Linked DNA regions of Saccharomyces cerevisiae S288C. The protein of the gene in region 1 interacts with the protein of each later gene in a biochemical or structural test. Each region holds a gene or a part of one and is shown on either strand. Other genes may lie near its edges.

What was found.
Region 2: the proteins of UBR2 (region 1) and MUB1 form a complex in vitro, tested with the Saccharomyces cerevisiae proteins (one study listed by BioGRID).
Region 3: the proteins of UBR2 (region 1) and DSN1 form a complex in vitro, tested with the Saccharomyces cerevisiae proteins (one study listed by BioGRID).

The regions. Positions count from the first base shown.
Region 1 is NC_001144.5:185,960-194,803, forward strand, and holds UBR2 (putative ubiquitin-protein ligase UBR2), read right to left. Parts: upstream 7,323-8,844; coding exon 1,704-7,322; downstream 1-1,703. Other genes in the region: IZH3 (Izh3p), read right to left, coding at 1-1,170; ESCRT-III subunit protein SNF7, read left to right, coding at 8,493-8,844. UniProt on the Saccharomyces cerevisiae protein: E3 ubiquitin-protein ligase which probably functions outside the N-end rule pathway, since it lacks the residues essential for the degradation of N-end rule substrates. Mediates RPN4 ubiquitination and subsequent degradation.
Region 2 is NC_001145.3:463,476-469,031, forward strand, and holds MUB1 (MYND-type zinc finger protein MUB1), read left to right. Parts: upstream 1-2,824; coding exon 2,825-4,687; downstream 4,688-5,556. Other genes in the region: YMR099C (glucose-6-phosphate 1-epimerase), read right to left, coding at 459-1,352; SRT1 (ditrans,polycis-polyprenyl diphosphate synthase), read right to left, coding at 4,970-5,556. UniProt on the Saccharomyces cerevisiae protein: Involved in the determination of the onset of polarized growth. Required for the ubiquitin-dependent degradation of RPN4. Cooperates with UBR2 to transfer ubiquitin from RAD6 to RPN4.
Region 3 is NC_001141.2:372,574-378,030, reverse strand, and holds DSN1 (MIND complex subunit DSN1), read right to left. Parts: upstream 2,601-5,457; coding exon 870-2,600; downstream 1-869. Other genes in the region: STS1 (Sts1p), read left to right, coding at 1-744; U2 snRNP complex subunit MSL1, read right to left, coding at 3,171-3,506; DNA primase subunit PRI1, read left to right, coding at 3,725-4,954; EGH1 (hydrolase), read right to left, coding at 5,033-5,457. UniProt on the Saccharomyces cerevisiae protein: Acts as an essential component of the kinetochore MIND complex, which is required for the spindle checkpoint and kinetochore integrity.

The DNA of each region.
Region 1 (8,844 bases):
CCTTGCTTCAGGTCTATCAAAGCGAGGCGACCAATTCATAAACACACCAAATACACCCAGCGCCAGAGAAATACTCATGTAAGTGTACATCGCCCAGTAACATGAATACATGGTAACAAACTCCGTTGTCAATATCGAAGCTGTAATTAAGATCGTAATACCGCTATAGTCGACACACGCAAATTTAGAACGTAGCTTCAAGAAGGACGTTCCGTTGAAAGTATGCCAAAACACGGAGCTTAGCATACATTTCAACGCAGCTGCCAAAAACATGAAAACAATCCATCTAGCCTGTGGTGGAACCTGGGAATTCCGCCAAACTTCAGACTGAGGGAAATCGTAAATTGCCAAGTAGATTATATAAATGGCTCCTAACAAATGAGACCAAATATTTGAAGTTTCATTATGCCAGCCGTACCAGTTAAAGATAGACAACAAAGATTTGGAATGGGTATTGTAAAACCTATAGCCATGGATTATGTATCTGTTTTCCCTCCATGGGAATGGCAACTGATAATAATGTAAATGTTGAGTTTCACCTAGACTATACGCTTTGCCATGGTTGTATGAGTTTATAAAAGACTTGATATCGGTAGTAGGATTCAAAGGTTCTTCAATGAGGATTTCCGTCTTTACCATGGATTTTCTCATTGGACCGCAATAGTCTTTCACGCTGGAAATATAATTGTTTTCCTCTTTGATTTTTGTATCATTGAGACGACTTGTTGGGGAACGTAACGAGGACTTCGCTTGAGAACATACAGTTGAAGATGAAGACACCAGTGAAGTGGATGTAGAAGCATTGTTAAGCTTGAAAGTAGCGACTGAATTCACCAAAGTGGCTGCATCTGAATCTCCCAGTGAAAACTGAGATTCTGTATTCAGAGACTTGCCACTGTTTCTTTTGTACACAGAACTTGTTACTTCCTTTTCTTTTGTTGGACGAATTATCTCCAAATCATCATACCGCCCACTTTCAGAGTGTTTAACACTTTCATCAATAGTTGAAAATGGATGAGGAACGAATTTTGAGTAGTTGTAATTATAGATGGATTTACCGGATTTTTTCACCTTCTGAAAATTGTCCACACCCTTCTGCTTTAGCCTTGATAGAGATCCCATGGGTGAGGGTATATACTGAGTTAAGCTTTTGCTTGACGAGTCCATCATGTACTTAATTTGATTGTCTGTTGGGATGTGAACTATTTTTCAGCTTATCTGCGTTGCAGCTTCTTCTTTGTCCACTTTACAATGGCTAAACTTTACCAGACGACAAAACAAGTGTAGAATTTGAATCAACTGTGTCCTAAAGAAAAAATAATGTCCAAAAACTCTTATTATAAAACGAGTAAACCACCACTTCGCTCGAATCGCCAAGCTTTCTAGATGTACACCCACGCTGTGTCACCTTATGACTATATACCTTATCCATCAACACTTTCTCCATTTCCTGCAGGGTAAAAAGAAAAGTGAAGTCACCCTGCACTATACGAGCTTCAGCCCATACCCCACACTAAAACATTTCTTTTTCTGCGGCATTTCTTTTTTTTTCGGTCCGTCCCTGTCCCTTCCCACGAGAAAGCGTAATGATCCTCGACCCTACCCCACTTCCCCACGCCAATTAAAACAGATAAAATTTCTTTTGATTTTTCGGATACGCTAATTTCGTAGCAATTTTGAATGACTAGACATTTGTTGGATAACTACATAGTCTCCCACCCACCAAGATCTGCACTGCCGTCCGTTAGTCGGAACACTATGTGCGGAATCATGTTGCCAAAAACAATCTCATTCGCTAGATTCGCGTATCTCGCCCGATTCAAATAGACGGGAGTACCGAATTTGTAGTCTTCGTTGGTCTCTCCGTATTTACTTAGATAAGGTGCAGCATAAAATGTACCTCTTTTGCCGTATGACAGATATATCGCATTTGTGCCGGTCATTAAGAAAACTCCGTAAGCGGAGGTGATTTCGCATCCATTTCTCATATGATCAGTACATTCCCCCTGTAAATAACCTTGCAGTGCTATGCTTTTTTGAATATGGCATTTTTGGCCACACAACAAGCATACTGCGATTTCGTATTTATCACATTTATTCGATATTTCATCATTATCAAGGGAAAATTTGGAAAGGTTCAATGGTAGTTCGATAAGCTGGATATGCTCTGGTGAAGGATATGCTCTTGTGTTTATGTTCTGCACCATGTCATATATTACTTGCTGAATTCTCAAATTATCATTACCATCATTATACCTTTCTATATTTTGTGTTAGTTCGTTGTAGAAAAAATCCTTCAAAAAGTGAGTTAAATTGGGTAATTTAAAATACCGGAAAATAAGCTCTATTTCACGCTGTTTGACGTCCATGAAATTATTGCTGCGGTTATTATTATTATCACCATCACCATCATCATCATACTGAATGTTGAATAATAAGAAGGTTCTTCTACAAAAAATGGACAATGACTCTAGTAATAGAGAGCATATAAAGTCTTTAATTTTCTCTAAACTTGTAAAATCAAACCGAACGTCGTCTGGTTTAAAGAGATCAACATACTTTTTAAAAGTATTGAATAGATATGAAAAGCTTGTCGATGGTTCCTCAGATCCGTTTGATGATATTTTGATTTTATTTCGACAGTCTTTGTAAAAGTTTACTCTCATCATATCTCTTGCAAGCAACAGTAGTAGTTGATGGAACCTTCTTTTGAACATTTCATAGATACATAGGTTAGGCGGTTGCGGGGTTTTTCCTCCATCAATATTATCAAAATTTTGACTCATATACAAAAGTAGATTCACATTATTACCCTTTATTAGAAACTCATTCCAATTCCATATTTTACGAGAGATTTCGCTGCTGAATGTTTTTGAATTAACAAATTTTTTGTAAATAAACGACTTTAGCTCACAAACTAAATGTAAGGTTAAAATGCACTGACTGGATATTCTTTCCATATTCACTATTTTTCCTTCCTTTTTGTGCGATCTTAATCTGAGCTCAGTATTTGAAATAGTATTAATAAAAACACTATTAACAACTTTATATGCATCTTCGATAGTCGTGACTTTTTTACCCTGAAGATCACCTAGAATCATCGCTGCTTTAATACAAATAGAGCTCATTGGGTCAAGGTTTTCTTCCGCTTCACTTCGCTTTTCAATACACATAAAAAACTGGCTCGAAGTTCTCTTATCTATATCATTTGTTTTTGGTAGAAATGAATTACTTAAGGAATTGCATACGGGACAATATATCAACCCTGAACCATACGATAATGGAATATTTTTTGTAGTTTGGTTTTGTATTCCGCGAATCGACTTCATATGGCCACTTAAACATTTGGTATGAGACCCATGCCCGCATGCTCTTAATACTGGTTCACAGCTAGTAAATTTCAATCTCGTTCCATCATCATCCTGGGGGTTTTCTTGGATTGCACTGTCTTTTGTTTGCTTACCACTGAACAGCGAATTTATTCTATTAACATCTGTAGGATTCGTAAAATCAATTCCATGATCACATATGTTCCGTTCTTGGTATGAAAAATAAACAAATACATCGTCATCCTTCGGCATCTTGCAAAATACGCAATCATCATCGCAGCAACTGTTGATTGTGTTACTACTATTCTCTGCATTTATTCTAGTGGGAGATAAACTAGGTGATGTGGTTCTGGGTGTACTAATATCGGAAGTATCTACACTATTGTTTTCCATGAATTTCATTTGCTGTTGAGCCAACTTCTTCATTAATTTTTTCTTTCTCAATCGAGCAAGATGTTTTTTCCTTTCAAATTCTTTATCCTTGTGGCTTTTATCTTCCTTTGTAGGCCACAATATTCCTGGTGTATATGACGTGGTTTGCTCCCTCAAATAACTGTTTACATTTACGTGAGGCGCTGTTTCCATTAAATACCTGAAAATTTCCCTAATCTTACCATGAGATTCCGAAAAATTATCCTTCAACAAACAGTAATACAGGATAGAACCAATGCTGTGGTAATGACAGAATTCTGTGTCCACAATTGCGTATTCATGCCACAGTATCCCCATAAATTCATTCAGATTATTAACCACGCATAAATGAATCAAATGAACCACTCTCGGCAATAAATTGTCATAATCATATTTTATAATGTGATCTAAAGTATTTTTCAAAAATAAACCAAAAGTATTCACTGATGATATTGAATACAGCCCAGAAAATAATGTATTCTTCAACAAATCTTTAACCTTTTTTGCTGGTACAAAAGTATCTTCATATTTCATTTTCTTCAAATTTGCCATATTCAGCCTGATATTTTTCTCTACATCATACCTCCTACTGGAAGACAACCCTATATAATAAGGATCAATCTCATCTTTATACTTTTCTTTCAACACGAAAATGCCATTGTCAGTCAAGCTTACAGGAGAAGTGTAATTGGCGTATTTTTCGAGATATATATCAAATGAAGGGTGCTTGGTGATATGTTCTGGAATACAGTTAACAATTTGTGCGTAAGAGCATGTATCAAAGCAAAGGGCATGAATTATTTCTGATTTGAACGTTCTCTCGAAGCCTTCCTTTGATGATTTCATGACCAATGATCTCACTTCAGTAAGCAATTGAATCAATAACAGAATGCATTCATTAACAACGGCTACAGTTGTTTCTGTATCAGGATAATCATACATAGGTACACCATTTGCCCAGTGCTTCAAACCCCACCTTGAGAGGTAAGTAACCATCAGTTCATCAGGATTGCACATTGCCATACTAAATTGCACATTGAAAATGTCACTAATATAAGTAAATTCTCGCATACTGTATTTTGTATACATCCGGGCCTGGTGAGTAATTGGAGTTCCGTTTCTTACCCAGAAACCGACGTTTATTTGCCCGATTAGGACTAGGGTTGACAAAGCAGATTCTGATATATATAAAGCCTTCTGCTTATCTTGAAAAACTTCGAAGAGATTAATGTAGTTTGTCAAAGAAGCAGGAATTGGCTCATATCTACCACATTGACTCCATTGAATAACAAATTTGAACAAATATGACATTGGATTGAAAAAATACTGTGTATTTACACCTACCTGGAAATTAATAGTCTCTGCGACATAATTGCATATCGTCTCTCTGACTGTAGACAAAGTCGCTTTGTTCGAATCATTTTCATTCGTTGATGCGTTATCAGGTGATATAGCTTTTCTAGAATTGGTTAGTGATTCAAATTCCCTGGTTTGAGCAACATCAAGTAGTTTAAGGACGATTTGCTTACGGAAAGCCGCATCTTTGACCAAAGATATACTACGTGTGTATCCATCTGTCATTATTAGTATTGATGAGAAAAAAAAATAAAATGCAGAAAAATCAAAGTTTTCAACCTCCACGTGTTCTTTAGTTTCCCTTTTCAATGGCAGCACGTTACTGAATTCAGAGAAGGACTCAATTATTGCGTTAAAAATTGCCTCATTTGAAAGTAGTTCTTCCGGAACAGTGTTCGCTGACATTATCGTACAAAGGTCTTTAAAGCAAATAATTGTCCTTCGATTTCGTATTGTTTCGGTGGGCAACTTAAAGCCATTGTATAAAGAGATGGGCAAATATGACATCAAGTCTTCTGGATTGAATGCCATGAGAGTAAAAGCAAATCTAATAGTTCGTTCAATGAATCCCGAGCTTATAGTCATATTTGCTATGCTGGGGTCTTGGAAAGTGTATTGCCCTAATATACTCATAAGAGTTACCTGACATTCTTTAGCATCTGATGCAACTGCATCATACAAGACCGATAGATAAACATCAATATATTGTGCGGCAAGAAACTTTCTGCTTTCATCCCTTAACGAGAATAATGACGCCATGATCTTTAACATTTTGAATTTAGATTTTTTTGAGAGGATATTAATAGAATTGATGATAATATATTGGAATCTAGATCCATAGAAATTGTAGAAATGGCTTACTGTGTTCGGCGAATGGGCTCTGATCAACCTTTCATTGTAATTAGTGAGTATTTTTGAAATTCTTTCGTCTTCAATGTTCTCTAATGACCAAGGTTTAAACCATGATTCATCACTATCTTCGTTAGATATTAAGAATCCACCTAATAAGTTAATCTTAGAAAAGTCAGGATTGGTATTTGTGGGAGATACTCTCATTTTAGAAAAATGGGAATACCAAACATCTAGCATGGAAATTCTAAGAGCATATTTATTTTGCAAAGACGTGGCCGCCTTAAAGCACAGAGAATATAACCAATCTGTTAAATCATCTGTTAACTTTCTCTTGAATATATCATCCGCTTTTCTTACATGAACTACTATGTTTTCCTTTTGAAACTCCTTGGCTATTTGATCTATTTCGAAAAAATTCTCACTTTGTAGCACAGTCACTACATCGTGTGAATCTTCTAAAGCCTTCGTTATTGAGATTGCATATTCAACCGGTGTATTCAAAATTCTTGTTATTGTAGATGCTAAATCCATGTAGTGTACGTTACACTCTTCTTCTTCGATTTGAATAGCCCACTCCATATGTGCTTCTTTTCTCGTATTGGACCAATTGTTATCAAAGAAAACAAAATTTTCATCATTGACCAATGGTTCACATTCGTGTTTTTCCATTATATCATCAGTAATGCTGTTTTGATTAGGATGCATTAGGGAGGATGCTTTTCTCTCGCTTGAATGGGCTTCTGCCTCCTCTTTGTATGAAACAGTTACATCAATTAAAAAATCCAGAACATAATTCAATAGGGAGATTACGTTTTCATCATCGGTTACGTTACTATTGTCGTTAGAAATAGGAATATTATTTAATTCGTTCTTGCACTTGAACGCGTCGCTTGGGTCATTAAAGGCAAAGGGGTCACCACAATGGCATATTCTGCCTTCTGGGCGCATTACCACTTTAGCAACATAAGAATGATTTACATGTTTTTCTTTATCGAAACAAAGCTCACATATTTCATACAATGGATTTGTGGAGCACGTAAAACAGTAATAAATTGTCTCAGAGGGGAAGCATAAACGCGTACACGCTGTTCCAATATGCATATTACCCACAGAGTGGTGGTCATTCTCGAACTCCAGGGTCCTCCACTTTCTTCCATTTAGTATGTCTCTGTACTTTTCGTTTTCCCAGGCTTCAGAATTGAGTATTGAAACGAGAGAGCGCCAGTTTATATCGTTATCACTATGCTTAAGGCGTAGATTTAAGGTTTTCCATAGTAAATAACTAGTGGTTTCGCTATATTCGCATTTCGCGAGTTTGGGGAGCTCGGTAAGAAAATCTCTTATATTGGTTATAGACAGGTCAGAATCTTCCATGCGTGCTTGTTAAGTAGCTATTAATTTAGTTAACGAATCTTACCTTTACTATCAGAGACGAGTAAATGATAATAATTAGAAAAAAAAGCCGGCTCTTTTTTTTAAAAAGCTTGAGCAACTTTTTTTTTTTATAGAGTTGTTAGTAATATGCCAAGCAATTGAAAGTATGAATGCGTTGATTATTGGGTTTCTCCCCACAGCTGTACATTGACGATGCTCTTTATTGATATCGCCTAAAAGTTCAACAAACGCCACTGGAAATTGCCGCCGTTGTCACCACAACGTGATAAGTGATGGTGTGCTTTTTGCACATCTAGTGAAGAAACGGGCAATTAGGATCTAGGACCAGTAACACTTGCCCCGCAAATATTATAACATGGGCCTTATGATTGCTCGGTTTGTTACATCTAACATCCTAAGAAGTGAGTGGCATGAATACGTAGCTATATGTAGATTGAAAATTGATGAGTCGAGTCATCACCTTCCTCTAAACGGGGGATAAATTTTGGCGGTATTTTCCCTAATTTTATTCTTCGTTATGTCAGCCATGTGAGACTAATTAATTCAAGTTTTGACTTACAATTGCGGCTTCGTCGGAAATCAGTATTACGTATAAACTGTGTACCATAAAATTGGCGTACTCGGTATTGTTTATACTAAGCCGGCCATTCTAGTGATTTCGCCTCTATAAATGGTTGTTATTCGAGTATAATATTTCAACCGCATCAAAGAAAGAGGTAGATAGCTTGCGTTCAACACCGTTCTTTTCTTTCCCCCTTAATTTAGCGCTTGGCGGTTATGCTATGGTGACAGTTAACTTTTTTAATTATAGGATGACTTGTCATATTGTTATATGCCGCATACTTATGTAAAGTAGTTATTGAGGTGGGGGTGAGCAGAGTAACGACAACGATGGAGTTCCGTAACTAACCAATGCTTAATGTTGGTAAGTAATAGCAAATATATATACTACATAGCTTTTGTTATATGCATCATTTTATACGATTCATGTTCGACCCTTTTGATAAAAGATGGGATTTTTAAATAAGTCGGTGGGTGATTTCGAATCATGAATAGTTGGCAGAGCAGGGGAAGTACGAGCTTCTAAAGGGTAAGATATTGTATTTCGGACGGAAGCAGCAGAAACATAACAGTATTGATAAATAAGGCATGTGGTCATCACTTTTTGGTTGGACATCAAGTAATGCCAAGAATAAAGAGTCACCAACAAAGGCCATAGTGCGGTTGAGGGAGCATATCAACCTTCTATCCAAAAAGCAATCGCATTTACGTACTCAAATTACAAATCAAGAGAATGAAGCTAGAATCTTTTTGACGAAGGGCAATAAAGTAATGGCGAAGAATGCACTTAAAAAGAAGAAGACAATCGAACAACTTTTAAGTAAGGTAGAAGGCACAATGGAGTCTATGGAACAGCAGCTATTCTCTATAGAAAGTGCAAACTTAAATCTAGAGACAATGAGGGCTATGCAGGAAGGTGCTAAGGCAATGAAAACTATTC
Region 2 (5,556 bases), on another chromosome or scaffold:
TTACTGTCAAAGACATAATTATTATCAAAATATATGGTATTAGATGGACTGGTAAAAGTACAAAACTTCAGAAATTTGTCCGTGATAGTTTAATGGTCAGAATGGGCGCTTGTCGCGTGCCAGATCGGGGTTCAATTCCCCGTCGCGGAGATTTTTTTATCAGACCAGGTGGGTGTTGTTTGATCATCACAAAGTAGAATTCAGTGTCATTTTTAAAAACGTTACTTAATTTTACGATAATATGCTGCCAGAACAAGTTTAACAATACGCTTTTGGCAATTTGTTCTTGCTGCACTTGGAATTAAATAAGAGTCTTAGTAAACAGAATGTTGCTTTAGTTGTTCGTCAACAAAAACAAAGATAAAGGATGGAGGTAATCAAATAGCCCACATTAAGAAAAGTATACAACTGGGAATTTACTTTATAAAAATTACCGTTGCTACATTTTTTTATATTATTTATTGAATAGCTTGATATTTCAATTCTTCTTTGCAAAGTAATTGATAAGCATTCCATTTTTTACCAGGAGCCAAGGAAATAAAATCATGAACATGACCAGGTTCAATACATATCATTTGTTGGTAACCAGTTTTTGGTTCGAAATCGGCCATCCCTTGAGACTTCTCAATCCATGGATTCCAAACAACAGTGTCGGGCAAGTTGTATCTTTTTAGAGTGTGAATTTGAACGCCCTTGTCAACTATTTGAATGGCCCGTTCGGCGCTGACATTCTGATAAATTACATCGGTTTCTTGATTGAAGGTAACGACTGGGTGCTTGTCGACGTAGGATTCCTTCAACAGTTGGTCATAAAGTTTCATGCCAGCTAAATTAGAGACCATTGTTCCTTCAATATCTTCGATACGGAAGTATGTATGGAACAACCAGTTGAACTTTAATTCCTTGGAACTAGATGTGTTTTCTACTTCTATGGCAGTTTTCAAATAATCGGAGCCTAATTCAACAGTCAAAATCAAAAGATAATCCATTGGCCACAATTTGGTCAATTCTGGGTTAGCAATTTCTGGTTTCAAGCCAAATTGTACGGTCGGTGGGTTTTCCTTAGTTTGACCCAAAAACTCCCAAGTAGAATTTCTTGCAAGACCATGTTGAGGTAATTTACTCAAATGTTCATCGGTGCTATTTTTCCCGAATACAGGAAAGACCAAAGGTATACCACCTCTCACAGGTTTGCTACCATCCAATTTAGCAGCAGTAGACAACCACAACTGTTCTTCAGATTTCAATTTCCAAGAATAAACTGTAGCACCGTACTTTAGAATATGAACGCTGGTGGTCTCATCAGCTGGATGAGTCAAAACAACTTCTTTATCAGTTTCTTTGATAGGCATGGCTTTGTGTTTTAATCTTTCTTGGTTCAAGTTTTACCAAAGGCTTATAATGAACCTCAGAATCACCTCTTTATTCATTTCTAGGGACCTACTAAGTTTTCTTTCGGCGTGAAAAATAAAAGGCGCATTGGTGACCCCATTTGCGATACCTTTTTATGGAAAGACAGCTTGAAGAAAGACCTTGTTATCATTGACTGCGTCTAGCGAACGAGGACATCTACACACTATTTCTTCTGCTGCAATGATTGATGCCGTTTAGATGAATGGTCGGGACGTAACTTATGTTTTAAGAAGAAGGCACTTTTCCTGGTGCAATAGATGAATCTCGGTTTCAAGTTAACTATATAAATATGGGGTTGGCATTATATGTCATGCTTTATTATAATTAGGCATATAAAACTACATGGTTATGAAAGGCGCTGGCAGTAAAAGGGTTGTTTGTCAATGGCAAGAATTAATCATTCTCGCATTGAAATATATGTAGATCGAGGTGAACTGTTAGATGGTCCATCAGACATTTATTATTTTGACTTATGTATTTCCCTCTCAATTTTGTTATCAGTAATCGAGTCATGTGTACTTTAAAGTTCATATTCTCACGTTTTTCGCAAGATATTAGCCGCCAATAGCAACTCCGAATAATAAGAGCTATATAAAGGCCGTTGAAGCCCACGGAAAGAGAAAGAAAACTAATAGTTATTACAATATAGACCGTTGGTTTTTTCTTTCCCTCCTGGAGCAGCTGCGTATAGTTACTACCTAAGAAGTGGGCTAGAAGTTGGCTAGAAGTGGGCTACTTAATATATATCTTTGGATACATAGAAAGGAACCAGGAAAAAGGAAAATTATTTAGATGGCTTCCATAAGTTTATGATGGTTCAAACGGCAAAAAGCCTTTTGACTATTTTTCTTGGTTGAACTATCTTCTTATTAGGCCTACTACAACAATGCATCGAGCTAGGATAACAACTAGAATACTTTGGTTATGTATTGTATGGGTGTTCAGTGGCAAAATTTGAGAGTTGGGTTATTGATGGTCGGCCTATACAAACGAAAGACCTAGAGCAGCTCACAAGGAAGAAAGTGCTGGACAAACTTCCCTACCTGAAGAGAAAAATATCCGTTTTTTATATAGTTTCTGTAAGTGTGCACAGTGACTTCCTCATTAGAGCGATATAGATAATTTGAGACTTTATTTATTTTTTATTTTTGTTGGTTCTCATATTCAACCTTCCATTTATCTAAGTTGAACCATTAAACATTCCCTTTTTTACTTTGCTAATTTCATCATACCCATTGATCAACTATAAGTGAAACTTGGGAATCTTCCATTATACAAAGGTGAGGTCCCTATTTGTTGCATTTTTCAATTCATTTCCCTGGGAGTTTTTGTTTGTTTTTGCTATATTAACATATCATAACAGCGTATAGAACGTAATTTGAAATATTCAAAACAAAGAAAAGGTAAAGAAATGAGAGACTCTAATCATCGATCATTAACGTCGAACAAGCCTATAGTAACAATAACATCTACTGTCTATGACCGAAGGGCATTGGATATCAACTCTAGTATTCCGTTAATAAACTCCCTAAACTACTTAACATATCTAACCTCTAATTCATCAAAAGTTAGGGAAACGGTAGCTAACGACGGTGCTCTCGAAAGATTAGTCTCAATATTGAGGAGTTGTCATTTAAGTTTGTTTGAGTTGCTGGATTTGGATTTAGAAAATTTTAATGAGCACGAAAACATAAAGGATCTATGGAAGGAGAAAAGACTAGCACTATGCGCTTGGAAATGGACTTTAACATTTCAGTGCTTAGTATTGACAGGTACTAGAGGGACAGAACAAATTCGTAAAAAAGTGGTAATGTCTGGGGTCTTATCTGTGCTGGTCACAGTATTGGATAACTATTTACTATATCATAAAAATTACGACTTCATCAAAGATCAAACAATGACCTTTGACTTCAAAGGGATAACCACGGAGACAATGTATAAATTCATGAGAAAAGATGAGAATGAAACATATCAGCAGTATATAGAGTTCATTACAGGTCAGGATAAATTGAAGTTGTCAACTGACAAAAATTTTCTAAACGAACGATTAGTGGCACCGTCTATGACAATTCCAACTGATTTTAGTGATATATGGGGCCGGTTTGCAGACCTAGCTAGCAATTTTGAACCTGACCAGGAAAGACACGACGACGACATTGATATTGATAGTGAAGTAGAAAGTGAAAATTTTGATGCACATAAGAATTTCTTTTCGCAACCAGACATTAATAGACCTACAATTTCCACTCCACGTGAATTTTTTCTCGGAAGAATTGTCCCCAAACAAGACGACGTTATATGGTCGCTTCAGTTATTAGCTTTTGTTTCGAAGTATACATATATGAAATCAACCCTTCAAAATGTTGAGCTGGTTGAATCCCTATCGTTCAGAAGTATGGCTTACAAAATTAAACAGAGAATCTCAGAAGAGAATGACTTAGAAGAACAAGAAAGAGACGTAACTGTAAAATTGTCTTCATTATATCCTTATTTATCGAAAAATCCTGAAAACAATTCCAAAGTTAAGGCACTAGATACTAGCAAAATGGATCCATTTTTCAAAGAATTAGAAGAACTCTCAAACAGATGTCAACAAGAAGAACAAAATGAAATATGTAATAACCACTGTCCCGTTCTTAATTTGTTTGAGCGCTACCGTGTACCGAAACCTAGCGACGACAATGCCTATGGCAAAGACAAGGAAAGAATTAATTTAAGGAAGAAAATATCTGATAACTTTGAAAGGCGCTGGAGCTACGATAAAATGAAAAAGGAATTAACAAATATTGTTTACAAAAACAAGGTACTAACAAATGTTGTAAACATCTTCCCCTTAGTCGAAAAATATACAGTGAGCGCAGAAAATACACATGATGTTATATATTGGAGTTCTGTCATCATGAGAAATTCATGTCGAAAAAATGAGATCTTAGGTGTGCGTCAGTGTGCCAATTTTTCGTGCGGAAAATGGGAAGATTTTCCAAGACAATTTGCAAAATGTCGTCGATGCAAAAGAACGAAATATTGCTCACGAAAGTGTCAATTAAAAGCATGGGGATATCATAGGTATTGGTGTCACGAAGTTGGATCAAGTCATATGAGATCCACGAATACTACCACAGGTGTCAATACCCCAAATGAGCCTAGTTCTTTAAATGCCACCGCTACTACAGCAGCTGATGTTTCGAATTCTACCAGTACGTTCACTCCTAATATATCCACCACCGTACCTGATGAAATAAGCAATAGGGATGAAAATAGCATACCTGAGTAAAGTACAAGGGGATTTCGATGACCTAGGTTTAACAAGATCATGAAATATTCATTAACGGAGTTTTTTGTTTTCGCTTTTTTTATTTTTTGTTCCTAATTTTTTTTTTTTTTACATTTTATTAGCTATACACTTGGCGCAAGGATATTTTATATACCGGATATAATAGATAATTAAAAGACTACTAATTAAAAATGATGTAATATGGTAATAGGTATGGAAGAATCAGGGAGTTTTCAGAATGTTCTTTGCCCTCTCTTGGGCTTTCTAGTTTTGCACTTTTACTTATTCATCTCCTGTAACCGAAACTGAAATGGGGGGGTTTGGAAAGTTGTACAAAGACATAGCTGTTTTCTTTTTTTTAAATATTGAAGGAACGCTTTCATGTATTTTTTCAAACAATGAGTGATTCTTCTCATTATATTTTTGAATGGTGGAAAAGAAGGACCATTTGAGAATCATCAGGTACATAGCAAAGAAGCTAAAATTTGGCCACAACGTATCACTAAATTCAATGGTGGCATTTTCATGTACTTGCCATAGCATATAGTCTGAGAGCCTCCTATGCCCACTTGTTCTGATTAATAATTCACATTTATTGGAATGGAAACCCATGTACATTTTATTAGTAAATTTTCTTATATTAATCCTTGGTGATTTATTTTCCAAATGGTCTTCAACTGAATCACGAATAGTATGTAACATATCATTTCTTGAAGTGTAAGGAAAACATATAAATAAAGTGAAATCGTCTCCATCCTGTGTGATTTCTTCCACTTTTTTAATTTTTTTTCTCATTTCTGGAGATAGTAAAGATTGATCACCTACTATTCTTATTTTAGATCCGTATAAGGGATCCTTATAGTCCTTGG
Region 3 (5,457 bases), on another chromosome or scaffold:
ATCAGAGGGCAGCCTCTGCCCTTGCAACGAGGCATGGAACTAATGAACAAGAACCAATTACAGCAGTTGTTGGTGGATTTGATGACAAAACATCCAGAAATACAACAAAGCGTACATACGAGAGTCATCGGATTAGACTTCAGTATACAAAAGTGTCTGGACATGTTGAAACAAAAATCAGAAGCCGTTTACCAGAGCATACCTTACAATAGGTCTTATGAGAGTAATAAATTAGATGACTATGCTTTCGTGAGAATGAAACCTCAAATTCTGGAGTTCTTAAACTGTTTGGTGGATTTCATACTGGATAACATTCCACCACGTTTGGAAAATTTGCACGCATCATTAAAATTCTTAGACATTTGCACGGAATTAGTTATCAAATTGCCCAGATTTGAATTAGCTAGTAATAATTACTACTACGATAAATGCATTGAACAATTGTCTCACGTATGGTGTACGCTTATTGAACATGTTGCCCGTGACAGGATAATTTTATTAGCAGATAATAGCTCCGTCTGGAAAAGTCATATGACAAGATTACAGGTATACAATGAACATTCAAATGGGTTATTGGAACGCCCACTCCAGCTGTTCAAATCTTTAGATATGGGTAGCCCTTCAGCAGCATCGTCATCAACATTATCACTTCAAGAAAGTATTATTTACCACCACGATACCATGACAGCAAACGAAAACAATAACAATAGTGGTAGCGCTGCTACTGATTCGCCCTTTAACTAAGGATAGAATGGTTCTTTTGCTTTTTCAAATACATTAATATGTATATATATGTATATATAAATGTATGACTGTGTAATGTTACATATGCAGAAGTATCCGATTTTTTTTTGATTTTTTCTTTTATTTCATAAATCCAGTTTTTTACTGAAAGATAAACTTAATCCCTTCAACAGCTGTTGAGGATTAATCACTTGTGAGTGGTCATCGTCCGTTTCGCTTGAGATCTTTCTCATTGTTTCTATGTTCAATTTATTCACTTTTGAATTTGTTATTTCGTTTAAGGCTAGTGAGTGCGAGTTTAATATATGCGACTGGTACCTTAGCTCATCGACTTTTGTTTCTAACTTTGTCTCAACATCTGCAATCGCAAGGTCTGGCTCTTCTGTATCCGACAACGGTTCCAGTGGTTGTGATGAGAATGAAGTCAATTCTTGCCATTCAAGATCTGGTCTCGAAGTGTCTAAAGTGACTGCCCATTCTTTCACTTCATTTTTGATCGCGTTCACCTTGCTCGTTAAAATGCTAAGATTCTTTGTGTTTTCCACGTTTTTGCTATTAGGTAATAGTTTTTTTGGTTCTTTCGGTAGGGCTTTTCTCCTTTCACTAAATTTACGTCTAGACCTCTGTATTTCCGAGTAGTCCACCTCATCGTCGTCGTCGTCGTCGTCGTCGTTTTCCTGAAACAGTTGTCGCAGTTCCGTGTCATCGTAGTTTTCAGTATTATCCAGAATCTTCTCCTCATCTTCATCCTCATATTTTTCCTCATCTTCCCAATCTATCGCAATATGATCTTTTTTAAGATCATCGACAAACTCTTTTATTATCACCATAGCCAGACGTTTGGGATCCACATAATCAGTTTCTGCCTTTGTTGATTCGAGCTTGGATTTTTTGGTCAGATGTTCAAGTTCCCCTTCTTCCTCTTGGTTTTTAGCCTTCAACTCCAATTTATGCAGAGATCTCATTAAACACCAGTTGAAAAGCTGTCGTATTTGTAAATTTTTACCAAAAGACGCATTTCCAACCACGGTGTAAAAATCCTCTTCAGGAATATCCTTGTGCGGAGATATAATAGTGCTTCCCCCATTAGCTTGAGATGCTAACATAGACAATCTTCTACCTCTCTGACTTCCGATTGATTTTTTCCTTTCCCTTGTTCGTTGAATGTAGTGTGGTTGCTGAAGTTGTTGTTGATGGAATGATCCGTACGGAAACAATTGCGGAGCTGGCAGCAATTGTTGTGATGAAGATATATTTTGGGGAGTAGTCATATCGGGACCGCCTGCAGCAGTGGGTTGCGAATAAAAGGGCTGTAATGAGGAGTTGGGCATAATCGAATGCATTGGTGATCCAGGATATGGTATCATTGCAGGAGTTGGTGCATTCATCGGATGGTAGTAATAGTAATAAGGCATATATGGAGCGGGCATTGCACTTGCATTAACATTCGCAGTCGCATTTGCAGTCGCATTTGCAGTCGCATTTGCAGTCGCATCTCCACTATGATTGTCGTCAGCAATTGGCGCAGAAGAATTGAAATTCTCCACTCTCTTGGCCTTTTTTATATCTTGCAGGTTATCCAGCCTTTCGCCCAGAGTAGGGAACCCCTGGATATGTTTATTCTTGTGTCGTTTGAATTTCAAATCGGGGCTCAAATTCGACACGGATTGTTTATTCTCAAAATATTCGGTCTCCTCCTCATCTTTCTGGGTGGGCTCGTTGCTTTGTAGAGTAGCCTTGGAGTCGGATTCCAATATTGGGATAGTTTCCATCCGCAATGGGTATACTTGTTTGTGTGTTCTTTGATGCAGCATCGGCGGCGTACCGGAGACCGTTTGTGTGGGTTCCAGACTCATCCTCTACCTAAATAAAGAAAAATTTGTGTGTGGTACAATAGAAGAGGCCCGGTTTCACAACTCTGCCTGGTACTTTGTGCTTTTATCAATTGGCGGTTCTTTTGATGTTTATTTTGATTTGTTTATCATTTGTGAATTTTTGCTTTTACTAGAAATATATATCATTTTAAACGAAGCCACATATAAACGCTGAACTACACTGTAATTCATCATATAGTAAGCTGTCTTATATACTAAATTATCACTTCCAAAATGTAATAAACGTCTTTTGGCAATGGGGTACTCTGTGGTTTGCCCTTTGTATTATTTAAGCAATTGAAGTGAGGAATAAGCGGCCGTTCTGCAGTATGTCTTTTCGGGAGACTCTTTCTGCTACAGATTTTTGTAGATTCTATATCTACTCCATATTGATACATGCCTTGATATTATTTGTCCGTTGACGACCATCTATAACGCCGGGTTGTTTGGATATAAACATTTTGGTTTGGTTCTGCGCTCTTGACTTTGATGTGCCCCTATGGCAGCTCTTCTCGGTATATACGTGCTGCTATGAATAGAGCGTTAAGCCAGTCATAGTGTTTTAGTTTCACTCTTGCTGAACTCAACTTTCAAAGGCTTACCAAAGAATCGCTCGCCGTTTAATGAAATCTGGGCCAGACTGGCCTGGTCGATGGTTCTCATGGTGATAAAGGCTTGGCCCCGCTGTTTCTTGAAATTCATGCTAACCTTCAGTACCTCTCCAAACGTAGCAAAGAGCAAAAAAAGGTTTACTCGCAGTCGTTGCATATTAATTTTTTCATTAAGCTGGCTCACGTACAGCGTATTTTTAGCTTCCGTTACTGGTTCAGCCACAGTGTGATGAGTATCGCGATCAATCCTCTGCTTTTTCCTTGCTGGTTCAACCATTACTATATCCTACGTGTGAATGATGCGTGAGTTTCGAAACAGTTGCTCGGTCAGTGCCCTTTGCCACTTTTACCTATTGTTTTCTTTCAGTTGAAAAGTTTCATAACGCCAAAAAGATAAAAAATTAATCAAAAATACTTTGAAGCTGAAGAGAAAAGCGTGCCATAATACTAGCAAAAATTAGTTTTAGCAACTCAAAAAACTGTTTTATAAACATCATGACCAATTCAGTAAAGACTAATGGGCCAAGCTCCTCAGACATGGAGTACTACTATAAGTCGCTCTATCCATTCAAACACATTTTCAACTGGCTGAATCATTCGCCCAAACCTTCTAGGGATATGATTAACAGAGAATTCGCTATGGCGTTCAGGTCAGGTGCTTACAAAAGGTATAATTCTTTTAACTCTGTGCAAGATTTCAAAGCACAAATAGAAAAAGCCAACCCAGACAGATTTGAAATCGGTGCCATATATAACAAACCGCCAAGAGAACGTGATACTCTATTAAAAAGCGAATTGAAAGCTTTAGAGAAGGAGTTGGTGTTTGATATTGATATGGATGATTACGATGCCTTCAGAACGTGTTGCTCCGGAGCCCAAGTTTGCTCTAAGTGCTGGAAATTTATATCTTTGGCAATGAAAATTACGAACACGGCCCTAAGAGAGGATTTTGGTTATAAGGACTTCATCTGGGTATTTTCAGGTAGACGTGGTGCTCATTGTTGGGTAAGCGACAAACGGGCACGGGCTTTGACGGATGTACAACGAAGAAACGTTTTAGATTATGTCAACGTGATTAGAGACAGAAATACTGACAAGCGATTGGCTTTGAAGAGGCCTTATCACCCTCATCTTGCTCGTTCTTTGGAGCAATTGAAACCTTTCTTTGTCAGCATTATGCTCGAAGAGCAAAATCCTTGGGAAGATGACCAACATGCTATCCAAACTTTATTGCCTGCATTATATGATAAACAATTGATTGATTCATTAAAGAAGTATTGGCTGGACAATCCAAGGAGGTCAAGCAAAGAGAAGTGGAATGATATAGATCAGATAGCTACATCGCTCTTCAAAGGCCCCAAGCAAGACTCTCACATAATTAAGTTACGTGAATGTAAGGAAGATCTCGTATTGATGACTCTTTATCCGAAGCTGGATGTGGAAGTTACAAAGCAAACAATTCATTTGTTAAAGGCCCCTTTTTGTATTCATCCTGCTACGGGGAATGTCTGTGTGCCTATTGATGAATCCTTTGCACCTGAAAAAGCACCTAAGCTAATTGATCTTCAAACAGAAATGGAGAAAAATAATGATGTTTCATTAACAGCTTTACAACCTTTTATCAATCAGTTCCAAGCATATGTGAGTTCTCTTTTGAAAAATGAACTGGGTTCAGTGAAAAGAGAACGTGAAGATGATGATGAACCGGCTTCTTTAGATTTCTGATGGTGAAATCTTTTTGTAACAATAAAAAGGGTGTATATATATATATATGACTACTATAGCTTTTGGTTCAATTTTTGTTTAGCTGATAACGCATTCCGCTGGTAAGTCATTCGAAGTGTCACTTCCAGGGGTGTTGGGCCTTGACTTCGATTTTGCGCAAATTTCAATGAACTGATGGCCAGGCTCGTGAAACCATTCAAGAACCTGGTAGTCAGTGTTATAGGTATAATGACCTGATGATGAACGAATTGACAACCGGCTTGGTGTAAAATGGTGCCGTGGTATAAAAATATATGTAGGGACAGTTATCTGTTCAGGTGTCGTTTTACCAACTAATTTCAAAAGGTAGGATTTATTACATAAGTTAAACTCAGCAAACTCAAATCTTCCGTGAATTTGTATGGGGAATGGTCTCATTATAGCATCAAGAGCTCTGAACCCTGACAAGTCGCTCTTTAAAGTGCACGAGGGACTATCCAAATCTAAATGATTATCTGGTTTTA